Linked DNA regions of Caenorhabditis elegans. The protein of the gene in region 3 purifies or fractionates together with the protein of the main gene of each other region. This does not show direct contact. Each region holds a gene or a part of one and is shown on either strand. Other genes may lie near its edges. The genes, in order: par-1, spt-16 and ctr-9.

The links.
Region 1: the proteins of ctr-9 (region 3) and par-1 fractionate together in Caenorhabditis elegans (co-fractionation; one large-scale study listed by BioGRID). This does not show direct contact.
Region 2: the proteins of ctr-9 (region 3) and spt-16 fractionate together in Caenorhabditis elegans (co-fractionation; one large-scale study listed by BioGRID). This does not show direct contact.

Annotation. Positions count from the first base shown.
Region 1 is NC_003283.11:14,124,939-14,135,110, forward strand, and holds the start of par-1 (Serine/threonine-protein kinase par-1), read right to left. Parts: upstream 1,601-10,172; coding exon 1,377-1,600; exon of another isoform or gene 1,318-1,376; intron 1,306-1,317; coding exon 1,173-1,305; intron 1-1,172. UniProt on the Caenorhabditis elegans protein: Required for cytoplasmic partitioning and asymmetric cell division in early embryogenesis. Phosphorylates and restricts the asymmetry effector mex-5 (and possibly also mex-6) to the anterior cytoplasm of the zygote.
Region 2 is NC_003279.8:10,784,383-10,794,554, reverse strand, and holds spt-16 (FACT complex subunit spt-16), read right to left. Parts: upstream 5,426-10,172; 5' UTR 5,419-5,425; coding exon 5,347-5,418; intron 5,299-5,346; coding exon 5,206-5,298; intron 5,156-5,205; coding exon 4,700-5,155; intron 4,339-4,699; coding exon 2,897-4,338; intron 2,737-2,896; coding exon 2,310-2,736; intron 2,257-2,309; coding exon 1,654-2,256; 3' UTR 1,403-1,653; downstream 1-1,402. Other genes in the region: F55A3.2 (C2H2-type domain-containing protein), read right to left, coding at 1-193, 768-963; F55A3.6 (uncharacterized protein), read left to right, coding at 9,574-9,627, 9,671-9,840, 10,129-10,172. UniProt on the Caenorhabditis elegans protein: Component of the FACT complex, a general chromatin factor that acts to reorganize nucleosomes. The FACT complex is involved in multiple processes that require DNA as a template such as mRNA elongation, DNA replication and DNA repair.
Region 3 is NC_003281.10:9,490,015-9,500,186, reverse strand, and holds ctr-9 (RNA polymerase-associated protein CTR9), read right to left. Parts: upstream 8,548-10,172; 5' UTR 8,530-8,547; coding exon 8,458-8,529; intron 8,297-8,457; coding exon of another isoform or gene 7,748-8,296; exon of another isoform or gene 7,669-7,747; intron 7,636-7,668; coding exon 6,685-7,635; intron 6,342-6,684; coding exon 5,400-6,341; intron 5,254-5,399; coding exon 4,014-5,253; intron 3,968-4,013; coding exon 3,815-3,967; intron 3,411-3,814; coding exon 3,316-3,410; 3' UTR 3,143-3,315; downstream 1-3,142. Other genes in the region: sod-4 (Superoxide dismutase [Cu-Zn]), read left to right, coding at 1-50, 533-633, 680-859, 1,185-1,280, 1,657-1,738, 2,866-3,011; dars-1 (Aspartate--tRNA ligase, cytoplasmic), read left to right, coding at 8,978-9,073, 9,231-9,383, 9,430-10,172. UniProt on the Caenorhabditis elegans protein: Component of the PAF1 complex which is a multifunctional complex involved in transcription initiation via genetic interactions with TATA-binding proteins, elongation and transcription-coupled histone modification.

The DNA.
Region 1 (10,172 bases), on a different chromosome or scaffold from region 3:
AAAAATTTTTGGCGGGAAATTCAAATTTTCAGTGAAAAAATTTTTGGCGGGAAATTCAAATTTTCAGTGAAAAAAATTTTAGCGGGAAATTCAAATTTTCAGTGAAAAAATTTTTGGCGGGAAATTCAAATTTTCTGAGAAACTTTTTGTTAGCTTAAGTACCACCTGGAACTGGCGAGACCCATCGTGGTGGGACCTTTAAAAATATGGGCGGGAGCTTCAAAATTTATGAGAAAAGAAATTTTGGCGGGAATTCAAATTTCCAAGAAAAATTTTGGCGGGAAATTCAAATTTTCTGAGAAAAAGATTTTGACGGGAAATTCAAATTTTCTGAGGAAAACATTTGGCGGGAAATTCAAATTTTGGTTCTGGAATCAATTTTTTGTTTCAGCACCTTCTGGAAGTTTCAAGAAAATTCTAGAATGTTCTAGAATCATCTGGAAAATTCAAAAAAGTTCTGAAATGCTCTACAACCTCCTATAACTGTAGGAGTTTTTATTTGTTTCGTCACATCTATATTCAAAGAACTTACTATTAGTAGTTAATTATTCAGACTTCTCCAGTTAAGGAAAGTTATTAACTTATTGAAAAACTGTAACTCTGTGGAATTTTTTCGGGGGAGGGGGACAGCTCGCCACGCCAACAGTGAGAAAAATAGTGTGGTGCGCGGACCTCGAATGATGTCGGCGGCTGATATTACCTGGGGTACCGCTTTTTGCCTTTTCCCCGTGAGTGAACGAGAAAAAGGCGGGGACTATTTTGGCGTACACGCAACGCAGTTTTATAATTTTGAGTGTAGAAAAATCAGAACATTCTAACTGTCTCTTTGAATTTTCTGAATCGAATACCATGGAAGAAGAAAATGCGATTTAATCGATGAAGTTTCAACTTTTTTAATGATACATTTTTGAATGATTAAAAGGACATCTATGTATTATACATTTTAAACTCCGCCAGTCGTTGGCCGCGCCGGAGGCGCGGTCATCGACTGGTTTTAATAAATAAAATTTTTAAAAAATTTGGAAAACAGAAAATTTGCCAAAAACCGGGAGTTTGTAACTACAGTAATCCTTAAAGGCGCTCGGTCGTGTCGAGACCGGCTACAGTATGTTTCAAGCTCTAATTTTTTGATAACTATTTTTTTTCGAAATTTCCAATCATCAAGTGCTCACCTTTGCAAAATTTCCCTTTCCAATAGTCTTCAATAGCTTATACTTTCCAACGTGTACATCCTGATCGTTGCGTCGTGCTGCCGATCGACTTGACATACCCGATTGTCCAGTAGATCGTGCATGTGATGAAGAGCTGGAAAAATTTTTATTGAAAACTGGTGGACTGGGGCTTTATTTTAATTTTAAATGTGAACTAAAATTAACTTTTTTCGGTTATGTGTGACATGATCTCCATCAGGTGACACTTTCACCGTTCGCCGTTTCCCAGATGAAGTTAGTGTGGGAGCCATCGGAGCTGTAGTGACCACTTCAGACACTTTTCGCTTCGGGATCAGAGATTCCTCCTCTTCCGGAATAGGCGTCACAGATGAACTACTTGGCTGGCACATAAATCTAGCGAGTAACGACGAGTATGCCGCATTGAACATATCGAATTAGGTCAAACGGACGCGTAAGAGCCCTGGGGCTCCCCGAAATGGAGCAAAGCGTGGAGGACGGACACACTGGAAAAAACGAGGAGAGCGCCGGCAGTAGAAGAGGAGCAAGCGAGCAAGAAGAAGAAGATGGGCGGCCTTTCTCCATACACATCCATCCATCCATCCATCCACACTTTGGAGAAGAGACACAAATTGCATCCATGTCTCTCTCTATCTGTCTGTATTCCTCTTGAAAAAAGTGTGAGCAAAAGGAGAAAAAAACTAAGAGGGAATATGTGTCCCCTTCTCTTTCTATTGCTCCCATCACATCGGAATTTCTCCAAAAAACCCTCCCCGCCGACCGATAAATGCCCCCACAAAGTGCTGCTCCAAGTGCTACATAAAATCGTGTCCCCCCCCCCCCCGCCATGCCTCTTCGTTTTTTCTAATTTCCCTTCGCGGACCCCCGTTTTTTTGTGGCTTTGATGGACGGGGCTCGTTGAATTTCTGTGTTTAAATTTTCATTCGATGCTGACTGCTTGCGGGGCCATCCAACGTCATCTCGTTGTGCTTGCAATTCTTCATTTTGAGTGAAGACGTCAGCACAGAGGGGAAGAAATGACGACTTTTACAGCCGATTTAATGAAAAAAAAAAACTCGAAAAATAGCGCTTCGGAAACTTTTTTTTTTCATTTGAGACGCGTTGTTCCAATAGAAAAGGAAGTTCCAGCCCCTCAGTTAGAAAAAATTGTTTTTCAAAAAGAAAACCGTTAAACTGCCTTTTTTGGATATAAAATCAAAGGTCAACCGAATCTAGAAACGTACTAATTATATTCGGCCACTTTGCCCCATTTAGTGGCTACGTTCATCATATTGCCCGTACCTCGTAGAACACAAAAAAAGTAAGGCGAACTCAGGCGCCGGACATAAAATGTAAAATCTGATGTTCAACAAGAACAACGATGGTCTTCTTCTATACTACAAGCTGCTATGATGAATCATGGAAAATTTCTTGCAGCACGACCAACGAAAAATTGAGGGGGCGATGAGTCATATTCAAGAAGAGAAGCAGCCGGAAAAAATATTTTGAAACAAGATAGAAACCTGGTCAATTCATATTCCGGAAAAAAGGTCCGAGGCTGTTGAGATGGATAATATGCAGAATGCCGTGAAGATGTGGAAGGTGGTGAATATGAATATGGATGATCGTCACAGCACAAATCATCGAGATCCAGTGCAAATGCGTACGATTTCTTCGTCATCTTAACAGTTCTTGAATCTTGAATCGCGAACAATAATTGAATAAAATAGTGTCGCACGTGAATGTGTAAGGTGATCCAGCAGCTTCTGAGCAGGTGTGTCAACCAGTCTGCACTGTCAGTCAGTTCAGTACAAAAATGAGTCAGTTCTTCAATTCTCTCAGTCGAGGCGCTTGTCGTTTTCTCACAACGTCTGCGTGTCCACCTCTCCTATTACTGACTCTCTTTCCGATAAGTCAATAATAAAAATTGAATAGATTGGGGGTGGAGGAGGTAGAACCGAATAGAATAGGACAACACACCAGGTGCACCGAGACGACGAAGATGGAGTTGAAAAAAAGAAGTTCGCGTCTCACTTTTCTTCTTTATAATCGTACTAACCGAGAAACTCATCACAAACTCTCGGATTGACGTGGCACTATTAAATAGGTTGAGAACTAAGAGGGTGGAGGAAACATGAAAATGTACACCAAAGAGCATCATTACAAAAGCAATGAATAGGGTTGTGCCAGTTTTTGGTTGTTAGTCAATTAGATTCCAGCTTACAGGAGCTCCAATAGCTTATCGATTGAAATGGTTCAAAGTCTATGAATCACATCCGGCGGGCCGTCAAAAATTGACTCCGTCATGTCTGTGAAGTAGTGATAAAGTTTCTGTTTTTGTGTGCCTATTGACTCATTTTTGACAGAAATTTGAAACATGGGATAGGTTGGAACTTTACAGTTTAACAGGGTGAGTTATTCTCATGGGTAAAGCATTTCGAAATTTTTTTGAAATGTTTTTATTCATTTTCAAAAAGTGGCAATCTACTTTTGGTAATCGGCCACAAAATTCTGCGAATTCTAAATTTCTCTAACGTTTTCCAAAAGTCGGCTAATATTCCAGATATTATTGTTAAGATTTTATACTCCTTAGATTCTTCACAAAATTTCCACTAGCGATCCTTCCCTTCAACATTTTCAAATCTTTTTCCCGAACATCATAAAATTCTCTAAAGTAACTCGAAACTGTACTACCGCTTACTTACTCGGGTGGCTTCCACATAAATTTCATAACTTCACGAATAACAGCTCCGCGTGGCAGTGTGTTGACCCCGTTGGAATAAACTGTTCTGGCTGACGGATGACGACGCAAAAGCGTCCCCAATCAGCTTTCACTCAAATTTCAGCTTTCGGTTCCGGGTTTTCAGCCGTTTGGGGACTGAAGAAACGCCAGAAATGTTCCGAAAAAATTTAGAATACACTGTGTGAGGAAAAACGACGACGATGAAAAAAACAGCAATGAACAGCAGAGAATAAGGAAAAGGAGAAGCTACTGCTGCGTCAATGTCAGTAAAAAGAGGATGAATCAGTCTTTCTTTGAGAGGATGAATATTGAAGGCCCCGAGGGCTCGGGGGTAGAGAATGAGACACGACAAAAAGTCGAAAAAGAAGACAGCAAAAAAAGCAAAGCAAAAAGAAACAGAGGAGGATTGAGCTGTGAAGCAGAGAACAAAAAACTCGAAATGACAGATCGCTTTTTTGAAAGGAAGAGCTATTCGTTTGAAAAGGGCACAATTTCGAACGTATTGGTCCGCGTTGGTACAGCTCAATAGAACATTCTAAAGCAGTGCTTTTTTGTTGAACATTTTTGGATGGATAAAATTTATAGACCTGTAAATATAAATGTACTTTTGGAAACATAAAATTCGTGATCACGCTTTGAAAATTTATAATCACTTTTTTATTACTAAACCGCAAAATTATACGTTTCAAGGAAAAAAAACATTAGTGCTATCAAAAAAAAATAAATAAAAAAAAATAAAACGTCATTGTGATAACCTACATACGCATTCTGCAAAAGCAACACCTCAATTAGTGGTATTTATCAGGGAAAACAAAAAAAAACATTCAAACAAAATGACCAGAAAACGTGATTCTTGTCTGGAAAATTATGAAAAAAAAAGTTGAATGCAGTCAGAGATATCACCATGTTTTTTCTCGTCAAAACTAAGAAATGAGGGATTAGAAGGCTAGATGAGAATGAAAAACGACGACGACGGGATTGAAAAGAATGGAAAATGCTGGTGGCGGAGGTTCCGGAATGGATTAGCACACACAGAGGACATGGATATACATATTGAGAAGAGTGTTCAGCTCAGCGCAGAGCACACATACTAGTTGTTGGACCACCACAAACCGCGTCCTAAATTCATTGAAAATTCCAAAGAGATTGTTCTCCTCTCTGACGGCCGAGTAGACTTCGACCCCCAGCAGCAGTTATGGAGAGGAAGAAAAAAGAGCGTGTGGTGAAAAAGTTCCACTAGCATGGACAAATATGGAAATAGTAAAGCTCTTTTGAAAGAACATTAGCCCTGCGGAGAGGATGAAATATGATGATGATGTATTCTGATTCGGATTGAAAAAGCTTAAACAACAGCTTTTCAACTTTTCAGGATCAGTGAGCTTTTAGTCTAAAGAGATACTGAAAATGACGACTAAGACGTCAAAAAGACGAAGAAGAAGAAACAACAGAAATAGGAAGAAGGCGACGAATAGGAAGAAGAAGAAGGAAGCGTAATTTGCATAATATTCGAGTAGTGTATGCTACGTGTGTCTGTGTATGTGTGCTTACTCCCCCTCTTATTCTCGCCACCCCTAATTATTGGGACTTGTTCGGCTTTTGAGTAGAAAAGACATCATCAAGATGGCTCATTCGATTACTTGGTCTTTGGAATTGAAGAGAGACCTCGGAAATTGTGAACATTTTGACATTTTTATTTACATTTTCAATTTTTTTTTATTTTTACACTTTTAAAATATTCAGAAAGGTCAGCAACCTTCAACTGTACAATAAGTCGTTATTATGCAAATTGAGTATTAAAAACTTGGCACTTTTGAAACCATTTTTGGATTAAAATCGAATAAATTATTTTTTTTTGTAGGAAAAAAATTTAAAAAAAAAACAACAATTCTGTTTACTTGTTCTGTACAATTGAAAAAAGTGATTCAAAAACAAAAGCCTTTTCTTATCAGTAAGTGTTGATATCGAAAGCTTCTCTCCGAGCATCAATCATAAAAAAGTGTCTCGTCAAAAAGTACAAAAGGGAGAAGGAGTTCTTTGTTAAAAGTATCTCTGAACCATTGGGAGCAGTTTGAATTTTTCAAAGTTGTCATAGAATTACTAGAAAAATAGTCTTCTGAAGAGATTGAGAGAAAAAGGAAAAAGCCGCCGAATATCTGTGGGTGCAAACAACTAACGAAGAATTGAAAATAAGTCAGTGAAGATTCGAAAAACAAACAATTTGTGAAGAAATCAACGAACGAGGAGAGATGGGCGAGAGAAAATTGAGACAAACTGCAGTGAGAAAACCAACGGGCAAAAAATTAAAACTATTTCGGGAAGTTGGTTCAAACTTTGATCAATTTGTTAAACTAACCCTTCAAAATGACCCCGAAAATACCGAATTTCATAACGAGACCTTTCAAAATTACAAATGGCTAAATTTCAGCAAAAATATCGAATTTGTCAACTTTTCCTAGTCTTAGAGGCCGGAAATTGTTGTTTTTTTTTTCGTTAAGTTAAACATATTTCCAGCCGAGAGGTTACTAAAATATCGACTTTAAATGAAAAAATTGGAGATTTTAGCTGTAATTAAGTCATTTTAGAAATTCTGAAAGACCTCGTTATTTTGAGTGAAATGAAGCAAACTATTGAATTTTTTCAACAATCGAAACCAGAAGCATGGAAAACAACAAATTTTCCCCCATACCTGTGTCCGATGGAAACAATTTCACATTTTTAATTTTAATTGAAAAATAAATGTTTCCGCTTTTTCTCCTTTTTTTTTCTTTAAGAAAAAAAAAAACACTCACCTTCCAGACGTTGGATGGGATCTCCCACTACTCGAATATCTAGCCGAGCTTCCACCCGATGAAGCAGCCGGTGCTCCTGATGATGCCGTTGTGGTGGCTCCAGATGTTCCTCCGCCACCGGTGGCAGTTGCCGTCGACGTTCCGTTCATTTCTTGTGCAGGACGTCGATGATGTGATGAAGAAGTTGAGGATTCTGTTGATGGGCGCGCCGGATGCTGAAATTTAAGGATTTAAAAATTTTTATTGGGCAGGTCAACATTTGAAAAAAAAATCAAATTTTGTTCAAATCTGAAATTTCGCTAACTTTTTTTGTCGCAGCAGATGTAATGCATTTTTATCGATATCGACTATAAAATTTTTTTAACCAACGAATTAACGGAAGATAAACTATCAAAATTTGTTATACCGGGTGATTATTCAATAAAAACTGTATTTACACCAGGACAAGTAGCGAAATTTCAGATTTTAAAAGAATTGGCTCGGCAAAAAATGTTGGAATGTTTTATTAGAAATTTCATTACGAAATTCGTTAGTTTCGGATTCATTTAAGCAAAAATATTAAAGGTTAACGAATATTTTGACTTAGACTATCGCCGGTCCTCATATTTAGCAGAAAAATTAATTTTTATACAGCTGTCCTACCTTTTTTTGACCATTTTTCTTAGAAATTCCCATAAAATAGCCTGAAACTCTGGACATTTTGTATGGCGGTTTGCCAGGTCGACAACGAACAAAACGAATGATTTCTATATTGAAAAATTCTCTCCCACCTCTCTCTCTCTCTCTTTTTTTTCTCAATTTTTCATGCAACAAACAACATTTTTGTTCTGTCTCCCCACATCTCGCGCCCCGTCGAAGTTTTCCATCCACAGGTCGTCAATTTCCGTTTTTCGTCATATTTCTATCAGTTTTCAGCGAAAAAAACGACGAGGAAGATATATATTGAGAAAACTAGGAAACACGAACAAGGTAAATTGAGTGATGATGGGAGCGACGGCGGCGGCGGCGCAACGGAACGTCGTTGTCATCATCAAATAACACTGTCTGTTACTCGGAACTCTCTTTATTTTCTTTTATCACTAATCTTCTCGAAGACCGCCCGTGTCTTGGATGAGATCTTTTGTGTTGCACCGAACACAGAAAGTTCACACAGAAAGTTCTTAGACTTGAAAAAAATATACATTTTTTCTGAGATCTTACTTTCAAATTTGCAGTTTTCAATCCGCTTCCACTCGATTTCCTTGTTCCGCTATTTGTTGAATGCGGAATTTGACCGGGTGGCTGATTTGACGACTGTTTATCCTGAAAAATAAATAGTTTAGTTTTGTAACCCGAGTTTCAGGACGTTTGAGCGATTATTATATCAGATTCAAAGTTGATTATGAGAAAACAATGAATAAATATCGATTTCAAAAATATTTTATCAGTTTTCCCGTTATCAAACGCTTGGAATTATCGGTTTTGCCATGTAAAAAGCGAAAAAATGTGAAAAATTAATTTAAAAAAATGAGATGGCCTAGATATCCACACGTCGGTTTCTAGGCCACCGCTACACTTTTCGGCGGTAGTTTGAAAATTGAAACGAACCTTATTAGATTTCTGGTTTTCTTTCGATGATTTCTGCTGATTATCCCCTGGAGGCGTGTTCACATGCTCCTGAAATAAATTTCCTTATAAAAAATGCAAATAAAAGTGCAGAAAATTATGAATAAAGTAGGCATATGGCTAGGAAGATATTCAAGTGGAACATTTTTTTACTCGTTCTGACGTTGGTAGTGGTGTTGGCTGACGTATTTTAAAACATTTTCAAATAATCGATAAGTGTTTCGGTTTCAAAGAGCTCTTGATGAGAAAACGAGAGAGAGAAATTGGAGGAAAGAAGGCTGAGAGAGAGTGGAGAGTGCAGAGAAACAGACAGAAGAAGCTTCTTGGAAGTGAGGAGAGCACAACTGACGCATGATTCGGTGCAAAACAGTATTGTACAGAAGTTTGTGATAACGATTGTTGACTGAAAAAGGAACTAAAATTTGCACGTAAAAGTAATTTTAAAACCTTCTAAAGTTAAAATGAAATCGACAACATTCAAATTTTTGAATGATAGCCTAACTTTCCAAGAATATAATACTAGGCCACAGCAATGTAACACTCCCAATCTGTTATTCCTCCGTGCGCGCGCGCGTGTAACACCCGTAACAATCCGAAATTCAAATAGAACGAAGCCATGTTCGCCTCACAATCAGTGTTATTTCTCGGGGAAGAGCGAGATTGGGAGGGGAGTGTTCTGTGTTGTCTCAATTCTTCTTTCTCGGTGAATAATATGAGAGTGTTACAAACTAGCTTCTTCTTCTTCTTATTCTTATTTCTCTACCGCCACCACCACCATCATCATCATCGTCACCAGCTGGACTTGTTGTACATTCATTCAGTATGGGGTCGGTGGTGGAAAAAAATGGAGAAGGTAAAACAAACAATGGATGAAAAAATAGAGAGGAAAATTGAAAGAAGAAGAGAGAAAATGGGAGAGAAAGAAGTGGTGGGAATCTAGAGAATAAAATGAAATGCTAGAGTGATTTGAACTTTTTACGTACTTGAAGAAGGAAAAGTTCACATGAACTACAGAGCTAGGTGTTCTTATTCTGCAGCTTTCTGTAGCGTCTACCCAAAGGCGCATGCATTTATTCATATGGGTCTCGCCGCGAAAAAATAGTGAATACGAAAGATTTTTCCTATTGTGCATATTTAGTGACATAAACTCATACACTTAAACGTGACTTCATTTAATTTCTAATATAAAATTATTTGAAAAATAACTAAATTAATTTTTGGACTTTTCTCGTGGTGTGGCCCATTCGAATAAATCTGTACGTACGAGACACAGAGCGAAATATGCGACGTGGCCTTAAAGTATATCAGCGGCCTAGTTTTTTTTGCAAAATTACGATTGCAACAGATTTCAAGAGCAAATCTCAACACTAGTGTTGTTAACGCATATTACTGTTCAGTAAAAAATTAATGGCCTGGGCTGTGAAACCTCGGCCATGGGTGCTTCAGACGTTCAATGACCTACAATCGTCAAACAACTTTCCTATTGACCGAGAAGCGTGAAGTGGAAAAGGAAAAGGAGTTTCTAGGCGAAAAAAGTGGGCGCGGGCGGGAGGACAATCACCAAAATCACACGCGGACCGGGAAAAAAGGGCGTGGTGGTGGGAGGTTGGGGTGACTGAATTCTCATTTTAGGAATGGTTTTGGTCTATTTGAGTGAGTGAGTGTTGTCCTTGAGACTAACGGAGGACACTCCTATACTCTCTTTCTCTCTGTCAATCTACAACAACTCTTTTTGTTCGTTTTACGCTAGAATGGTTAGATAGACGTGTGGAATAGTGATGCTGGAACTAAGAGAGAGCACAGAGAAATTGGAAAAATGGAACTTTTTTCATGTTGAAACTATGCATAATAGAGAAAAAGTGGAGG
Region 2 (10,172 bases), on a different chromosome or scaffold from region 3:
ATCACTTCTGATGCTTCCGATGGTGTAGCTGGATGAGCTTGAGCAACATGAGATTTGAAAAAAGCATCCATCGGACTCTGCTTACATATCATACAGAGTTTTCGTTGAATAACCACGTCATCTTCATCAAATGTGGATATCCATTTCATCGAGTTTGCAGCATCGGAATCTCGACGATGTGTTAGGCGGAGATCTGGAAATTTGAAATTTGTTCAAAAATCGATATGAATTGAGCTGTGAATTTCTAATTTCAGTTTAAAATCTGAAAAAAAGTGGAGCGTTTTGCAAGTCTGCGGCACAGTTTTATCATGTAGATTTACGAAGGATTTTGTACTACGCGTGGACAAATGTGAATATAGTTTTTTCACTAAAAATATTCATATGTTTTCAGGTAAAAGTCGATTCTAATTTTTTGACTTAGAATATCTCTGTGAATCATCTGAAAAGTATTTATTTTGTTGAAACGTTTGAAAAAATACCTCAAGTTATGCCTGAAATTTGCCGTAAAATATAATTTAACGGAAAACGACAAATTTCGGGCATTTTTCAAATTTTTCAACAAAAATAAATATCTTTTCAGTTGGAAAAAATAATTTTCTAAATTATTATATCGATTTCTGATTAAAAATTGGATCTATTTTTATGTTAAAACTTGTCCACGTGTATTACAGAACCCTCCATAAATCGAAATGCATCGAACCGCGCCACAGTCTTGCAAAACCTCTGCCTCTTTCTGATCCTTCTATTCAGCGGAACAATAATATTACCAATTTTCTGAAATCCTGTAATCTTCTCAGCAGCTTTAATGGCTTCATCCATCGTCAAAGTTCCTATTTTTTCATTACTTCTCATCATTTTTCCACGTGTTTTTCGACTCGTTCTCGTAGATGCTGAATCGGAACCCGAAACTGAATCATCCTTCAGTTTTAACCGTTTTGCCACTGGGCCAGGTGGTTTCGGCATCTGTAAATCGGAAATTAGCGAGTTTATTCAATTAAAAAATTATTTTCAGCAAAATTCCCACTCACCGAACCCACAAATCCACCGCAATCAGAGGGCTAAGTGCAAGACACGTGGCATGTCAAGAGCATTCCAATGCTCCACCCTCTGCATACGATCTTCATGTTTCAAGCAACTGCTTATTACACAGACGTCTAAAATTAAAACTTTTCGCCAAATGGGTCTCGCCACGAGGACTACGGTAACTCGTGTCTATGACGCTTTTGCATAATATTCTAAAGCGGCTCGAAGATCAACACGAGCTACAGTAACCTGTCGTCTGCGCGGCGAGACCCATTTGGCAAAACTTTTCCTTTTTAGAAATCTGTATAATTTTGTTGTTGTAATATTAATCAGAAAAAGTAGAAACGGAAACATTTTCAGAAAACCGACAAAATTATGTAAAAACGTGCCTCCATGAAACTTCATTTGACATTAATTGATTTTGAAATCAAAAATATTTTAGCATCGACTCAAATTTTGAGTGGGAAAGAAAAATAAGGGGATTGACAGATTTTAGTTGTAAAATTGTTGTAAAATGGGGGGTGTAACGGGACGGATTGATTGATTGAGATGCGAAGAAAATTCTTGGGGATTTAAATAGTTGAAAAACAAAACAAAAGAATAAAACGGAGGAAATTATACAAACAGGATTTACTTTCTGCGTTTGTGCGATGGTCCAGACTTGCTCGAATGTGGTCTCTTACGATCACGATCACGTGAAGGTTCTTCGACTTCACGTCTCTTATCAGCATTCGCTGCTTCTTCCTCCAAATCTGACCAATCTTTTCCTTCTGATTCATCGGAATCCAACGATCCTTCATCATCATCATCGGATTCAGTCTCTTCACCTTCACTTTCATCTTCATCACTTTCACTTCCTGATCCAGCAGATGCATCTTCTTCTTCAGGATCATAAGCATCCGAATCATCAGAATCATCCATTGCCTCTTCATTATCAGATTCAACATTAAGGAAACTCCATCCACCTTCTTCAAAGAATGCTTCAAGATCATCAGTGATTGTCTTCATAACTTTTGCCCAATTCAGTGATTGAATTCCTTCACTGTACCAAATATCACAAGTATGAAGCCATTCTTTTATCTTATCGATGCTGCTCATCGGGATTTGGGCGACCATCTGAGGTTTGATCTTGTAATCTTTGAAGATGAAGACCATATCGAAATTCTTGAGTTGAAGAGAGACACGTTCAAAGTGGACAAGTTCAACTTCGGAGAGTGTGACGATGAATGTAGGCTGAAAATAAATAAAATATAAAAGAATTCAGGAATAAAATTCAAAAAACATACCCATTCGGTGAGATTAACAAGGCACGATGCAGTTGGTTTGAGTGTGGTAGCCGAACGATACGGAACTCCAAAGAATCCGAGTCCAGCGAACGGAGAATCGAATTCAAATTGATCATTTGTGAGACGAGACACCTTCTCGCAGAAACTATTAAATGCAGCATTGAGACGACGACGCATTTCACGTTCTTGCTGTTCACTCTGCATATCATCACGATCTTGCATATGATGATACTTTCCAAGATCCGTAGTGATTTCTCCGACTTCTGTGTAGAATTGAACATCCTTATACTTCTTCTTTCCCCACAATACTGGATTCTTGAGATGGAAGTGCAGAAGGATGATCATTTCATTGTCGCACGGTTGGAAGAATGCATGTTTGATGTTGTTGTAGAGAACATCAATACGATCACCACGAAGAGATGTGTATCTGGAAAATCATTGAAATAAAAATAGGAAATTTTGAGCTTTTAGATTTTTTTTGTTTAAATAGACTAAAACTGATCCGAAACGGCATAATTTCGAAACGAAAGTTTTCAAATTTGGCAATTTTTGAGTTCAGAAACATTCGTTTTCCTTCAAAACTGTACCTAAATCCATTAGTGTGGGCCTCCAACGATCCAGTGATACGCTTTTGAATAATATTCGGACGAATCAGAAGATCCTTGAGCTTCGGATTCAATTTGTTCTGGCTCAAAATCAATTTGTCCTGCTTCACAGCTCCTTCCTTCTCCCGCTCTTCAGCCTCTTCAGTCTTGAATCTCTTCTGCATTTCCTTGATGAGTCGGAATGCGGTGCTCAAATTATGGCTCGGCGCAGTCGAATCACTGTGATGATCCTTGATGTTACTCGCACGGAACGTGAGCTCCTTCATATAGTGTGCAAGTGGATGTGGGAATTGCCCACTATCCTTTCCAACTTGAGATCCTGGAGTGGCAAAGTTGATTCGAAGATATGTGAAATCTCCTTCAACTGATTGCGAACAATTCTTTATCATGGAGATATGGAATGGGACAGGAATTCCAAATATTGGAACAACCACAGAATCATACTTGCGATCCACGAAAATCAACATCTTCTGAACGTCTGCATCTTGTGGGAATCTCTCTTCGGTTTTATATGACACATTCGATTTCTTCGACTTTTTCTCATCGGTCCCACCGCCTTGCTTTGAAAGACGAGCTTTTGCGAGCTCATTCAACTGAACTCCGAGCTCTTTCTGACGTTCCTTACGTAACTCTTCGTTTGTCGTCTTATTTCTCGTCTGATCAGTTAGAACGACACTTCTCTGACCTCTTCCGAGCATTTTCTTCTGATCATTGTCCTTTTCAGCTTCACGGTTTTCCTGCTCCTCTTTGAATTTGATGACGTTGGACTTCAGGCGTGATTTGGCTTTTTCGGTGAGAATCTCGTTATCGCCTTCTTCTTTAACCAAAATTGTATCCGAGATTGCAATTGCGGCGGGTTTTCCTTTTTCTCCTTTATTTTTGTTTGGAATACTATCGACACCAATATAAACGATGAAGACCATTCCTGCTTTGACAACCTCGTCACACTTCGCACTGATAGCAAGACGACTCTCACGGAATTCGATTCCAGTCGCAAATCCAAGCTCTTTCTTGTTCAGAGTTTCAGCAAGTTTTGGACTTTTCTCCGTCAATGTATCGATTCCAATTTTATAAACATCGCTCAGCTTGGCTCCTGGCTTCAGAGCAGCAATTACTGCCAGCTCGGCGGCAAGAATCGCTTCATAGGCAGTCTCAAGTTCAGAAGATGGGAAGATGAGCATAGTTCGCGTCAAATTTGTGCAATATTCTGATAAACGAGCTCCGAACGAAGTGATGATCGTTCCAAACTGGCTGTGAAGATGAGATTCCGAGCTTTCATGATTCCATTTGAACGAGTAATTTCCACCGGACATTACGATTGGATCATAGCATGTGTCGGCTTCATACTTGGCCAGTGCCTGTTGTACTTTTGAATCCTTCATGAAGGCGGCAAACTCATTGGAGAGAACAGAGTGACGGACTCGCTGCAAAAATAAAAAAGAATTATTTTCTCGGGATTAAAACAGTGGTTTTCCCAGGAGTACTAAAAAATGAGCCAGTTATTGGTGATAGATAAAAGGAAAAACAGTTTAGTCATCTAAAAATAGCTTTACATTTAATTGAAACAACTGGAAGAACGCTCAAAAACTGCATGAAAGTTTAATTTTCGGGTGATTTCCAACTTTCAGATTGATTTTGAGCAGTTCTTCCGCTTTTTCAATTGAATTAAAAGCTATTTTCAGATACATCAACTGCTTCATTATATTCTATCACCAAAAACTGGCTAATTATGTAGAAATGCTTGCAGCGGACTCCTGGTTCAACTATTTTCAGAACGATAAGCACCTTTTCTTGATCAATGATCTCTACGTAGCGAGCTCTTGCAGCTGTCCATGATGCGGTTGTAGCTTGTGCTGATTTTCGAATCAAATCCATCTCCTTATCGTCTTTCACTGCGAACAGATGAGTAAACGCGAGAGTGACGTCATTCTTATTGACACCGCCTTCCTCGAGCGCCTTATTCCACGAACTGACGAATTCCGAGCTGAATTTCTCTTTGACGAAATTTCCAACATCTCCGCCGGCACTTTTGATGTGATCGATGAGCTTTTCAAAGTTTCCAGCGTCTTTGTCGGTTTTATCGCGGAGCAGTGTGCTGACTGTTGGCACTTTTCCTGAGCTCTGATTGTCTCCAGTGACTGATCCGAAGAATTCGACTTTGCGATTACTTCCGAGAATGTAAATGTGATCTTTGAGAAGCAACAGGACTGTGTCAGCGATTTCGTGGCCAAACAGCCAGGTCTGAAATAAAAATTTGTCTTGAGTTTGAACAAATTCTGAAAAATCCTTACAAATAGTGCGCTGGTCTTTGTATATGGATTATCAGTCTCTCCGTATACAAAAGCAAGTGATTTGATCGAATCTAGACCATCGGCTCCCTTCTCCTGTAAAATATTTGATTAAAAATTCGTAAAGTCCTGAAAGTCACAAACCCAGTGCTCATAAAGCCTCTCCGCTCTCTGGAAAAAGAGATCCTTGTTGAGAACTGCCCGTTTTCCAGACATTTCTCCCCTGAAAGTTAGAAATTGTGTTAAAGTCACGAGGATTGAGAGATGGAAGCAAAAATCGATAACGTAAACAAAGTGACCAGCAACGGATTCGGATAGGCTAAAAGTTTGAAATTTGCGAAAAAATTAATTTTTTTTGACACAATTTTAAAATTTTGAAAAAAACGTTTTGACGAGACAAATATTTTTTCACTGAAGAACTGTAAACTCTGAAAAATTAGAGCTGAAAGTGAGGATTGCGCGCGAAAAAGAATGGAATGAAGTTGGGCGTGGTCAAGGAACGCAACAGCCGCACGCACTTTCGCAACCACTCCGCATGCAATATTCCCGCCATGTTATTTACGGAGGGGCCATGTGAGAGTACACAATTGTGATGAATTCTTGAAGAAACATCAATTCCAGCGAGAGTTCAGAAAGTGGAGTTTCTGTAGGGTAGAAGATGTGGAATAAGTGATGAGATTATGTTGAGCGGGATGTAGGATGTCAGAAGAATCGTTGAAAAGAACAGAGTTGTAGATACAACAAGTCTTCGGAAATGCCGCGTGAACGGTAGATCAATTATTTCTTGAATTGGATTAAAGTCGGGATCGTTGAGATTTCTCATAAACCATAGTACACCAGGACGAAGGATTTCTCGAAGAAGAATCACAAATGACGCTGAATAAAATACATAAATCATTCCAACCATCCAATGAAGGAATATTGACATGAATGGAGCTGTGGCAAATGTTGCAATTCTTTGTGATAATGTTATATTGAATAATGGAAGTGTACAAACATCCATCCAACATCCACACATTACAGGGAAAAATCCAATTTCCAAGAATACCAGCAAGAAGACTATAATGATAAGGAGAGATGGCATTTGGGAACTAGTTTCAGATTCGGAATGCTAAAATATATTGAAGTTAAAGTCGACTTTTAGCAATTATTACGCCGGCAATTGCGAAAAATCCTGAAAGAAAAGTTTAATATTTTTCCTTTTCAGATAATCAAAGTTACAAATCCGGTTGTAATCCTACGATAGTGCCTACAATATTTCAGGCCTTGAAACGCAGACAACAGTAAAATTATAAGAACTTTAGAAAATTTTGAGGAGTTTAGCTCTACATCTGTCAATTTGGTATAAATTATCTGTTTTCTGAAAAATAAAGTATTTAACTATTTTAACAGCGGTCCACAAGAGAAACGGACGAAATATTTGAAGAAATTTTAAAAATTTAAAAAAAAACCGCGATAGGGTTGGTTAAAGGGACATCGGCTTACTCGGATGGGTCTCGACACGATTGTGGTTTTGCGTTGTTGTCGACGAACATTTTTGAATTCTAATTTTTTCCCTATTTTTTTGCCATAAAAGCTGTAGAATTGCTATATTTTTAAAATGTTTTCCATCGAAAAATTGTGAGATTGAGTTTGAAAATTACCGAGTTCCATTTTATTTTCATTGGATCTGTTTTTGATAGTTTTTACTTTTTTACAAATATTTTACAGGAGAAGGGAGCCGATGGTCTAGATTCGATCAAATCACTTGCTTTTGTATACGGAGAGACTGATAATCCATATACAAAGACCAGCGAACTATTTGTAAGGATTTTTCAGACTTTGTTCAAACTCAAGACAAATTTTTATTTCAGACCTGGCTTTTTGGCCACGAAATCGCTGACACAGTCCTGTTGCTTCTCAATGATCACATTTACATTCTCGGAAGTAATCGCAAAGTCGAATTCTTCGGATCAGTCACTGGAGACAATCAGAGCTCAGGAAAAGTGCCAACAGTCAGCACACTGCTCCGCGATAAAACCGATAAAGACGCTGGAAACTTTGAAAAGCTCATTGATCACATCAAAAGTGCAGGCGGAGATGTTGGAAATTTCGTCAAAGAGAAATTCAGCTCGGAATTCGTCAGTTCGTGGAATAAGGCGCTCGAGGAAGGCGGTGTCAATAAGAATGACGTTACTCTCGCGTTTACTCATCTGTTCGCAGTTAAAGACGATAAGGAGATGGATTTGATTCGAAAATCAGCACAGGCTACAACCGCATCATGGACAGCTGCGAGAGCTCGCTACGTGGAGATCAGTGATAATGAAAAGGTGCTTATCGTTCTGAAAATAGTTGAACTGGGAGTTCTTTTGGTGATAGAATGTAGAGAAACAGTTTGTGTATCTGAAAATAGCTTTTTAATTCAATTGGACAAACGGAAGAAGTGCTCAAAAACAATCTGAAAGTTGGAAATTGCAAAAAATTCAACTTTCCTATAATTTTTGAGCGTTCTTCCAGTTGTTTCAATTGAAATAAAAGCTATTTTTTAGATGACTACACTATTTTTCCTTTTATCTATCACCGATAACTGGCTTATGTAGTTGTACTCCTTGGTAAAACACTTGTAAACCCCAAGAAAACAATAATTTTTCTTTCTTTCAGCGAGTCCGTCACTCTGTTCTCTCCAATCAGTTTGCCGCCTTCATGAAGGATTCAAAAGTACAACAGGCACTGGCCAAGTATGAAGCCGACACATGCTATGATCCAATCGTAATGTTGGTGGAAATTACTAATTCAAATGGAATCATGAAAGCTCGGTCTCATCTTCACAGCCAGTTTGGAACAATCATCACCTCGTTTGGAGCACGTTTATCAAAATATTACCACAAGATGCAGACGTTCAGAAGATGTTGATTTTCGTGGATCGCAAGTATGATTCTGTGGTTGTTCCAATATTTGGAATTCCTGTCCCATTCCATATCTCTATGATAAAGAATTGTTCGCAATCAGTTGAAGGCGATTTAACATATCTTCGAATCAACTTTGCCACTCCAGGATCTCAAGTTGGAAAGGATAGTGGGCAATTCCCACATCCACTTGCACACTATATGAAGGAGTTCACGTTCCGTGCGAGCAACATCAAGGATCATCACAGTGATTCGACTGCTCCGAGCCGTAATTTGAGCACCGCATTCCGATTTATCAAGGAAATGCAGAAGAGATTCAAGTCTGAAGAGGCTGAACAACGGGAGAAGGAAGGCGCTGTTAAGCAGGACAAATTGATTTTGAGCCAGAACAAATTGAATCCAAAGCTCAATCTTCTGATTTGTCCAAATATTATTCAGAAGCTTATCACCGGATCGTTGGAGGCTCATACTAATGGATTTAGGTGCAGTTTTGAAAGAAGACTTTTTTTTCTGAATTACATATTTCTTTTTTTTTTTAAATATCACCTTTTATTAAATATTTGGTCGTTTATATCGCATTAATTTTTGATTTAGACACTTTTAAAGTCAATATTCATCTGTTTTTGTTAATTTTTAGATATCTATCGACTTAAAACGTGCCTATATTCGCGAATTAACACGAGATAATCTACCAAAATATGCAATAAAAGGTTATAATTTCATAAAAACTACATTTCAGGTCCTGCGACAAGAACAAGACGATATTTCAGATTTCAGCAAGATTAGACTTTTTTTTGAAAGCTTTCGTTATGAAATTACGCCGTTGCGGACCAGTTTCATTATATTTAAGCAAAATCCCAAAAGCTCTAATTTTCAAGATTTTTATTCAATTCATTTTCCAGATACACATCTCTTCGCGGTGATCGTATCGATGTTCTCTACAACAATATCAAAATTCTTCCAAGCCTCAGATGGTCGCCCAAATCCTGATGAGCAATATCGATAAGATAAAAGAATAGCTTCACACTTGCGATATTTGGTACAGTGAAGGAATTCAATCACTCAATTGGGCAAAAGTTATGAAGACAATCACTGATGATCTTGAAGCATTCTTTGAAGAAGGTGGATGGAGTTTCCTGAATGCTGAATCTGATAATGAAGAGGCAATGGATGATTCTGATGATTCGGATGCTTATGATCCTGAAGAAGAAGATGCATCTGCTGGATCAGGAAGTGAAAGTGATGAAGATGAAAGTGAAGGTGAAGAGACTGAATCCGATGATGATGATGAAGGATCGTTGGATTCCGATGAATTTGTACAGCCAATTTTCGCGTTTTAAATTATCCAATTCCTTGATTATTTTTCCAATGATGATTCAAATAATATTTTAAAATTCGTTTTCCCATGATCTTTGGAACTATGGTTCACGGAACCAGTTTTATTTCTTCACTATTTATGATGTTTCTCATTTCAATCTGTCTTTAGATGTATGAGACCCATCGGAAGTTTCCCGAATTTTATCAACCTACGGAGCTGATGGTAAAAATTCAATCAGGGAATATCTTAGTTTATTGGATTGCAGGAATTGTATGATCCCAAAGGTGATGTCAAAATCGACGGGGCCAATTTCTTGTGCTCTTGTGGCGTTTCGATGAAAAAGTACCGTATCCAGCGGATGAATCACCATCTTCTTTCGCAGGCCCACTTGGATAAGGAAAAGCTCGTCATACTTGTCAAAGAAGACGAGAAAATGTAAGTTGCAAGTTTTCTATACTTTTCAAAAATAACGGAAGTTACAAAAATAACTCAATAGGACCGAAAAGTGTGCATAGGAGCCCCCGCACGCTTATTTCACTAACCTCGCGCGTTTTTCGTTATCAATCTCAAAATTTTTATTCTTTTATTTTAAAACAAAACAGTGTGAGGGTTACGAAATAAGCGTGAGGAGGTTGCGAAAGCATATTTTTCGGTACTTCCCCACTTTCGTAGTGGAGACTCGACATTTTTGAAAATGTTTATAAAATTTTGTTTAATTTTCAGTAATTTCATCGAAGATATAAAGGCCCGTTTTACACATTCCGAAT
Region 3 (10,172 bases):
TGTTGTTTTAATTCTGGCTCTCTCCGTTTGCATTGAAGCCGCTTCCGAAGGTAAACAATTATATATTTTTTGAATCGCCGTATATTTTAAAAAGTCAGAATATTTTTAATTTTTTAAAGTTTACTGCAAAAATTGGCAATTACTCAGTTTTCACATATCATAATTCTGGAAGTCGATGAAAAATAATTTTCTTCCAGGGTTATATTTTAAACTTTTTACAATTGTTTTCATCTAAACAGTCCTAGGAAACTTTTAGGAGTTTTCTTTAAACAACTAAATTTTTTAAAAATTTTGCACTTTACCAAATTCTATAATTTTGGAAGTTGACCAAAAAAAATTTTCCACAAGTTTTATATTTTAATTCTACTTAAGGCAATTTTATTTGAAGATTGTAGGGGCTCAAACTTCAAAATTCTTAGAACTCCCAAAAAAAAAAAAAATATATAATTCAGAAACAAAATTTCAATTTTATATTTTCAATAGCTCCTTATAAAATTTCACTGCTCTAAGTTATAAGTAAAACTATTTTCAGTGATTCGTGCACGTGCCTACATTTTCAAAGCTGAAGCTGGAAAAATTCCAACTGAATTGATTGGAACTATTGATTTTGATCAATCTGGAAGTTTTCTGAAGGTAACTATTATTCAGTGTGAAAACATTGACCCAATTATTGTTTCAGCTTAACGGATCGGTTTCCGGATTAGCAGCTGGAAAACATGGATTCCATATTCATGAAAAAGGAGATACTGGAAATGGTTGTCTAAGTGCTGGTGGACATTATAATCCTCATAAGCTGAGCCATGGTGCACCAGATGACTCGAACAGACATATTGGAGATTTGGGAAATATTGAGTCACCGGTAAGAATTTACAGAACACTTCCAGGATATTGTGTTAAAATTACCAAATCTCAAAATACAATTTTTACAAAAAAATGTTCAAGTCTAGTGAAAACATGGTGACTACCACTTGCATTTTGATTTTAAATGTATGTAGTCAATTCTAATAAGGGCCAAATATAAACATGCATGACAAATTACCATATTTATCTCAAAAACACTCCGAAGTTCGATTCCACCAAAAATATAAGTTGGTTTTAAAACTTTGCCACAACAAATTTTCTTTTTTGAGTGCCTTTTAGTAATTATATATGTACACATCTCATGGAGATTATATTTTTTTCAGGCTTCCGGAGACACATTAATTTCAGTTTCCGACTCTCTTGCCTCATTAAGTGGACAATATTCAATCATTGGCCGAAGTGTGGTTATTCATGAAAAAGTGAGTTGGTTTATGATTTTTCACGTTATTTGATGGCAGTGTCTATAAAAAATATTGATGTTGGGTGTTGTTGAGGATGAGAAGTTTGAAAAAAATAGGTGTATGATTGAAACAAATATTTATGAGCATTCGATTGTTCCAGACTTGTTGATTGAAATGGCAAAGATCAAAAATCTATTGGAAAAAGTAAACGACATTGGTGTTCGAATTATCATAGCGGAGAAACAATCTAAAATTTTCAAAAGACATTTTTTTACCTGCCTGTTTAACTGTAAGACTAAGCCTAAGCCTAATCTTAATCCTAAGCGTAAGCCGGAGCCTAAGCCTAAGCTCTCAATGTTCATTTAGTTCTCAATTAAATACTTCACTGTTTCAGACTGATGACTTGGGACGCGGTACTTCAGACCAATCAAAAACAACTGGAAATGCTGGAAGCCGACTTGCATGTGGAACTATCGGTAAGACTTTTACCTCTTCACAGCTCCCTTACTAAAATATAATATGTTACTTCTGAGTTCATATAATCTGTTTGACAGGTACCGTCTGATATTGTCTCACTGTCTGCGTCTCACTTTCTCACACATCTTCTCTAAATATTCCTTCCCCCATTCCAAGCCTCGTTTTGTTGCTAATCACACGTCGATGCAAGATGCCTCACTACTAAATGAAATATAATAATTATTTAATAATCTCTATTTATGTTGTAGAAATTTTGTGAATGTATATATTAATGAACGATTTTTACTAAATTAGCATGTTCTAATACAAAAACTGTATTATGGGGACGTAGAATAAATGAATACGTAAAAGCGCTCTACACGGTGAACTGAAAACGCTCCGCCCCTAAACGTTGAGCCTCGTTATGTTTTGGCGGCAAAACCAGAAATTCAAACGTTTTCAATTATTTTTGCAGATATCACTCGCTTGTAATCATTTTTCCTATTTTTAACATGTTTTCCGTAGTTTCTTTATTTTTAAATTGATAAAACGAAATTCAGAATTTTGCCGTCGAATACCTAACGAGACCCAACGTTTATGGGCTGCGTCCTTATAATAAAATTTAAATGAATTTTCCTCCTAAAAATTGTCCAATGCATGCTTCTCAATGCTTTCCGGTATTAACCTCGACGCGAAATTTTGAGATTTTTGTTCCACGGTCTCGACACGCCTTTTTCAAAACCAAAATGAATTTTCATGAATTTTTCATATTTTATCGTTATGGGGTTATTCAAGTAATGTAGAAAAATGTATTTAAATACATTTGTGACGTCACAAATGTATAAAAATACATGTTTTTATACAGTTGTGACGTAATTTTTCTACACTTTTCAACTTTCCGACACTACTTGAATAACTCCATTATGGAAGCTTAAATTTAAAAAAAAACGTAAATTTAACCAAATCGTGAGAAAAACTCACAACAACGAAAATTTCAAATTACAGTGCTTTTTGAAGACCCCAGTTTGTATTTGACAAAACTTTGTCGTGTCGAGACCGGGTACCGTATTTTTGCGTCAAAAATTGCAATTGTTGTGTAATATGCTTCACTTATCTTCAAAACCCCAATAAACGTTAAATTATTCAGGAATTGTGGAAGAACGTATTTTGGAAACAACGACAGCATCCCTTCCTCCAGTTACACAATCTCAACCAATTGGATCTTCTTCTTATTATTATTCTACATTTTATCTTCCAATTATTTTATATTTCTTGCTATCTCGTATTCTTTAATTCGTCCTATTGTTTCATGCTTTCTTTGCTCCCTCCTTCTAGTCCTAAATGCCCTCGCTCCTCACGAAAACTGGTCTCAAATTGTAATCGAAAACTCTGCGACTAACGAAAACGAACTCACAGGTACCATTATTTGTTTGATAAATGAATTCATGTCAAAGATTGAAAGTCTTGGACTCGGTGATTAAAAACGGGAGAATGTATTGTGAGAACGAGCACAAGATGCTAGATTTACAAAGAGTACAAATAAAACATTTGTGAACAACAAAAATAAATAAAAACTTTAAATTTAAAAAAAATTGGTTCAGTCGCTGTCGCTCTCGATAACCTTCTTTTTCGGAGCATCACTTCCATCACTGTCCCTGGAGTTTCCACCAGCAGGTTTATCATCATCATCATCTGAAAATTTCAACATTTTGTATACGATTTTCCGAAAATTTGAAAAAATTTCATTTGTGCGATAATAGTCTAAATTTTAGTACAATTTTGAAATGGTTTGTAATTTTCCTTTAAAAAATTTGTAAGTGTTTTTTTTTCTTTTTTTTTTGCGATTTCAGGTATTTCGAAAAAATGTTTAAAATTTAATATTTTCAAATGTTCCAAACATTGTTTGAAGTTTTTTCCGATTATCACTGAATAAAAACTGAATAAAACTAAAAATCGAAAAATTTTCGTTTTTTGATTAATATTTTTCAAAATAAAAATATTAGTATTTTTTTCGATTTTGAGATATTTGAAATAATCAGGTATTTTCAGAAGGCGACATCCTCGGTTGTCGTTTTTTTTTTCAAATCTATGATTACCATCAGAACCTCCAATAATTGGCTTATCATCATTATCCGATCCAGAGCCAGATCCGGAGACTGATCCTTCATCAGAATCCACAACAGCCTTCTTCTTTTTCTTTTTTGTAGTTGTCTCACGATCACTATCACTGTCAGTTCGGGTTGGACTATCTGCAAAAAATGGAATTTTTTGAAAATCAGAAATCAATAAACTAACCAAACTCATCAACTGGCGGCCGCGGATCAACCTCATCATCCGATGAATCAGCAGCAGGCTTTGGTTTGTCATCATCAGAAGATTCCGATGAAGATAAGAATGCACGAGATTTTATCTTTGCTGATTGTTTTGCTGAGAGCTTCTCCTGTAGTTTTCGATCCCTCTCTTCCTTCCTCTTTCTCTTTTTCTCATCTCTTCTGTTCGAATCAGGTCCACCACTATCTCTACGTTCTCTCTTCTTCCTGGATGCCTTCTTTGCTGCCTTATCCTTCTTCCTTCGTTCTCTTCGTTCACCATCTTCACCTCCTTCCTCTCCATCATAATTTCCAGCATCAGAACTATCATTAACAAACTCATCACCATCATCATTTCGTCGTTTCCGTCCACCACCTCCTCTTCTCTTTTCTTCGACAATTTCTGGAAGTCTGAGAACATCTTTTGTCATTTCTATGAATGATAATCTAAGATTCTTCATATCTTCGAGCTTCTGTTTTTCAGCTTCTTCCTTAGCACGAGCTTCCTCAATCATCTTGTTCTGCAATGCTATCTTCTCTTTCTCTTGCTTCTCCATAAGACGACGTTCTTCTTCATCTTGAGTCTGTGCAGCTGCTAATTTATGCTTTGCTTGAGTTAACAAATCCTTGCAATTTTTAGCTTCTTCTGCGCAGATTGTTCTCGATATTCGCATTCCAGTATGGCTCGATTGACGATCATCATTTTTAGAGATGTATTGGAAAATTTTGTCGGCGAATTTGAGATCATCTATAGCCGCAGTCACTTGTTCTGATGTCATTTTGTGACCTCGAAGTACTTCTTTTGCAGATTTCTTCAATACAATAGCATAGTTAAATTTCAATTGGGTATTATCCAATTGATCAAGCATTGCACATTCAAGTGCTTCCTTGGCTTCATTCAACATATTTGCTCGGTAATAGGCCTTTGCAAGATAGTGTTGCAATGTCGAGTCATTCTCCTTTCGAAATTTTTTCATCGCAGACGAATACATCTGAACAGCAGCCATCCATTGCTCTCGTTCCATGCAAACGTGAGCTATATTGAGCCAGACATCGTAGAATTCACTGGTAGACTCGCGAACTTGACTGAAAACATCTCGAGCATCATTCCAGTTTCTTTTATAAGCAAGCACACATCCGATTCCATTTGCAGCATACATGTTTTTTGGTTGAAGTTTCAATGCTTTTTGATACATTTGGAGAGCTCGGTCAATGTACTTTTTCTCCTGAAACAAAATATTATTAAATTGTTTGAAAATAAAAATTAAATATATTGTTCATTCTTTAATAGTTAAGTACAAAATGGTATCGATTATAAAATTTAATATGAATAAATTTCAGAATGCAAGTGATAAAGCAATAAAAAACCTACATCTTCCTTTTTCCTTGATGGATTGAGAAGCTGCTCGAACCACACATTACCAAGAGCTACCAGCGAGTATGGATCAGGAATTTTGTTGTTGAAAATCTTCGACAAAATGAATTCAAACTTCTTCTGGGCAGGCATCCATTCATTCTTTGCAAAATGAAGATTTCCAATAAGAGTCCAAACAATTGGTGATGCTTGATCAAATTGAACGCCTTGTTTCAACCACAAAGACGATTCATAGACTTGATGACGATCACGAGTGATACATCCAAGACGAAGATATCCATCAATATATCCAGGACATTCTTTCACAATATCCTTGTACATTTGTTCGGCTTCAACAGTACGACAAAGATGCTCCAAGCACAGAGCCAAATTGTAACGAATTGTGAGAAGGTGCGATTTTTCAGGAGCACTTCTACGTTCTAAAAGTAGAGACCCTTCATCAGTATTCAATTGTTCTTCAAGACGTTCTTTAGCTCTTTTGAAGTGATGTTCAGCTTTTTCATATTGCTTCATTGACATATACAAAGCACCGACGTTGTTGAGCATTTCGGGTTGTGGTTGAATACTCTCATTTGTTACAAGCAAGTCGATTGCATTTTCATACAATTCCAGAGATCGTTTTGGATCTGTTGCTTCGAGAAGTTGAGCCAAGTCGATGCATGCTTCATAGTCATCATTTTCAACTGCCAGATATTTTCCAAGAACATCCCGTCCCTTTTGCCGTGCTTCTGCTGTTTGTGCCGGATCGTTTAGCTGAACATGAGCATATAGACTTCCAAGAATTTTCATCGTGTCTGTATTGTTTGGCAATCGTTTATGAACAGTATCGAAGCATTTGATTGCTTCTTCAATTTCATTTCGATGAATGTACATTTGACCAAGTCCATAGTGAGCAAGGGTGTGCTCTCCATTGTTTGCTTGTCGAGCTTGGTAGTAGTACTGAAAGTAGGATTTTACACGTATAATATTCCAAAATGGCCAAAACACAAAAATTTTAGGTAGATTTTTGAATATTTTCAGTCGAAGCTTTCGTAAATTGGAAAAATATGAAACTTAAAAAAAAAGGACTTTTTGAGAATTTAGAGCAATGTCTTTCGAGACACGAAATAAGAAAATTTCAAAATTCTAGAATATTTCCGTGCATTTTTTCTGAAGCTTTTTTTAACATAAAAATCATTTGATTTTTCGATTGCTTTCAGGATTCAATGACAAAATTCCGGGGTTTCTTTCGAGTTTTTAATTTTATATTTTTAGTTTATGATTTGAAAACTCAAAAACAAACCTTATAAGCACCGTCAAATTGCCCTTGTGCATGCCTGCATCTTCCCATTTGATAGAAAGCTTCAGCTTTTATCGAATCACAATCATTATACGTTGCTGCATGCCAGGCAAGTGTCCATGCACGCTCAATTTCTTTTTTGAAAAAGAAATGATTAGCAAGATGAATAAGAGCAACTGGATGATCAGTTTGTAAATTATAAGATCTTCCAAACAAACTGACTGCGTGTTTGAGGCTGTCATGGTCGTACGTGTTCAACAGAATAATTCCCAAACCACACATGGCCGATACATTATATGGTTCAATTTCCATGGCTCTTTCGAATGCCGTTTTCGCTTTGTCCATCATTCCCATTTTAGCGAAGCAGTGACCGATTCCGACTCGAAGATCTGCGATTGTGTGACGACATTGTCGAATTGCTTTTCGAAAGTAATAGATTGCAGTTTTATAATCCTTTTTATTGAATGCGATTACAGCTTTTCCAATCAACGGGAGCACATTCTTCGGATTGGTTTTAACGACATAATTGAATTGTTGATCAGCAAGTTCATACTTGTTTGTACTTTTATCTCGTTCAAAAAGATAAAACCAAGCACGAACTGTCAAGTGAGACCATTCATACATCGCAATTTTATCGGCTGTGTTGAAAAGAACTGTAGCTTTCGAGAAGAAATCACTTTTCTTGTCCTTGGCCTTCTCTCTGTAACCTTGAGTCATCCAGTAGGCAGCAAGTATATCCAATGCTCTCATTTGATCCTGTTTTACTCCTTCATACTCCAATCCAGCACGAGATCCAGCAGATTCTAGAATCATCATGAATAGATCAACACGATCTTGTCTGTAATATTCGAGAGCAACTTCAATCCAATACGATAACTTTGCTTCTTCTGCTTCCAAAATTTGAAGGACTTCTTCGCCATCGGGGAGCTCGGAGCAGTTGATTTCAATTACTTCCTGAATAAGTTTTTCATTATTTGATTCAGAAAATTAATTTTTCAAGATTTTATTTCACGAACAAACATAAAAAACGTTTTTTTTAAACAATATAATATTTAATAAAAATCGATCATTGTGCTTCGGAGGCCACTAATGCGAATAATTTGGAAAGAAGGGCGACATCAACAAATGGTTCATGTTTAAATGTGAGAAGGACAAGAGTAAATACGTCCCGGCTGTCATTTTGAGCGAAATCGAAGAGCACGTCTTGCTTCACTTTCAATTCTTTCTTAAGCATTGTAATTATTAACGGCAAATTCTCGTCAAGGGTCTCCACAATGTACTTTTCTTCAATATTTTGACTTTTTTCGGTCAATTGCTTCCAAGCTGACATTCGTCCTTGTGCAACTTCGAATTTTCCAATAACTTTCTCAAAATCACTCATAGTTTGATTCAGTTTTGAATTCATAACAACAATCTCATTGAGAACACGATCAGATTGATCTTTTGTTAGTTTTGCAGACTCCTCTACATCAACTTCTCGCGAATATAGCAGTTTCAGACGTGAATTAACTAATGATTCCAAATATTGGACTGATTTTTCAGAAGCTGTCGCCCAGTTTTGCATTAAATTCCAGACTTCGATTGAGAAACGGCGGAGACGTTTTAAGTGCGTACCCTGAAATTCAAAAATATCGATAAATCAAGTCGGTTGGCTGAAATAAATTCGAAATTTGAAAGTCCTACCGACATGATGAATCAATATTCCCAAATTTCCTCACTAAGAAACAACAACGATCGATTTTTGAAATTATGAACACTTTTGAAACAAAAACTTACATCTTCGTGACTGTCTTTCAATGGAATAGCGATTGTTCTGGTCTCTTGCACATCATCAATACTTTCGTCCATCTCCTTGGACTTTCTGACCTGTAAAAAACACAAATTAGATCTTTCTTGACAAATATTCAAGTAATAGTACCCAAGATTGGGAATTTTAAAGATTAAACGTGGTAGTAGACTTTCCAAGCGCTGATGCAGAATAAATCATGGATTTATGATAAACTCACTTTAATTCTTACAAAAAGAATAAGCAAATGAATAAAATATAAAGATTAAATAACGTTTAACTTTGAAATTCAAGAAGAAATTGAGAAAAACAGGATGCAAAAAATATCTTTTCGAACGAGGCGCGATGCGCGTGAAGTGTAACGCATTGTACGCAGAGAGCACAAACATCAGAACTGACGCGCATACACACTTCATCATTTTCAGCCCAAATTGTAAACAAATTCCTTATTTTCAAGCTAAAATTTAATTTTTCATTGGTTTTATAGATGCTAATTTGTTTCAGGTGATAATGGCTGATGCTGCCGAAGGTGAACAACCAAAACTCTCCAAGAAGGAGCTCAATAAGCTTGCTAGAAAAGCTAAGAAAGATGAGAAAGCTGGAGAGGTGAGATTTTGTTAACTATGCTCGTTAAAATAGGGTTTAGTCTAAATTTATAGAGTTATTGAAAATTCTGTTGAGCTATTTATTTTTAAAGTAAATAATTTTCTATAACCTCAAATGCTATTTTGAAATATTTCGCAACTAAGCAATATAAATTCAGAAAGGAGGAAACCAACAACAGGCTGCCGCTATGGACCAAGAAGACGCATCCAAAGACTTTTATGGATCATATGGGCTTGTTAACTCTAAGGAAAAGAAGGTGTTGAACTTTCTGAAAGTCAAGGAGATCAACGTTTCCAACGCAACAAAAGACGTGAGTTTTAACAGAGGATATGCTCATCTTATTCACATTTTTGTAGGTTTGGGTCCGTGGGCGCATTCACACTACTCGATCGAAGGGAAAGAATTGCTTCCTCGTTCTCCGTCAGGGAGTCTACACCGTTCAAGTAGCAATGTTTATGAACGAAAAGATTAGCAAGCAAATGTTGAAGTTTGTTTCTTCTATCTCAAAGGAGTCTATTGTTGACGTTTATGCTACTATCAACAAGGTTGACAATCCAATTGAATCTTGCACACAAAAGGATGTCGAACTACTTGCTCAACAAGTATTTGTCGTTTCAACTTCTGCTCCAAAGCTTCCGCTCCAAATTGAGGATGCATCACGCAGAGCACCAACTGACGAAGAGAAAGCCAGCGAGCAGGAGAATCAATTGGCTGTTGTTAATCTCGATACAAGACTTGACAACCGTGTCATCGATCTTCGTACGCCAACCTCTCATGCTATCTTCAGAATTCAAGCCGGAATTTGTAATCAGTTCAGAAACATTCTCGATGTTAGAGGATTCGTGGAGATCATGGCTCCAAAAATTATCTCTGCGCCAAGTGAGGGTGGAGCCAATGTTTTCGAAGTTTCCTATTTCAAAGGATCCGCCTACTTGGCTCAATCTCCACAACTCTATAAGCAAATGGCTATTGCCGGAGATTTTGAAAAGGTCTACACTATTGGTCCAGTATTCCGTGCTGAAGATTCTAACACCCATCGTCATATGACCGAGTTCGTTGGACTTGACTTGGAAATGGCCTTCAACTTCCATTATCACGA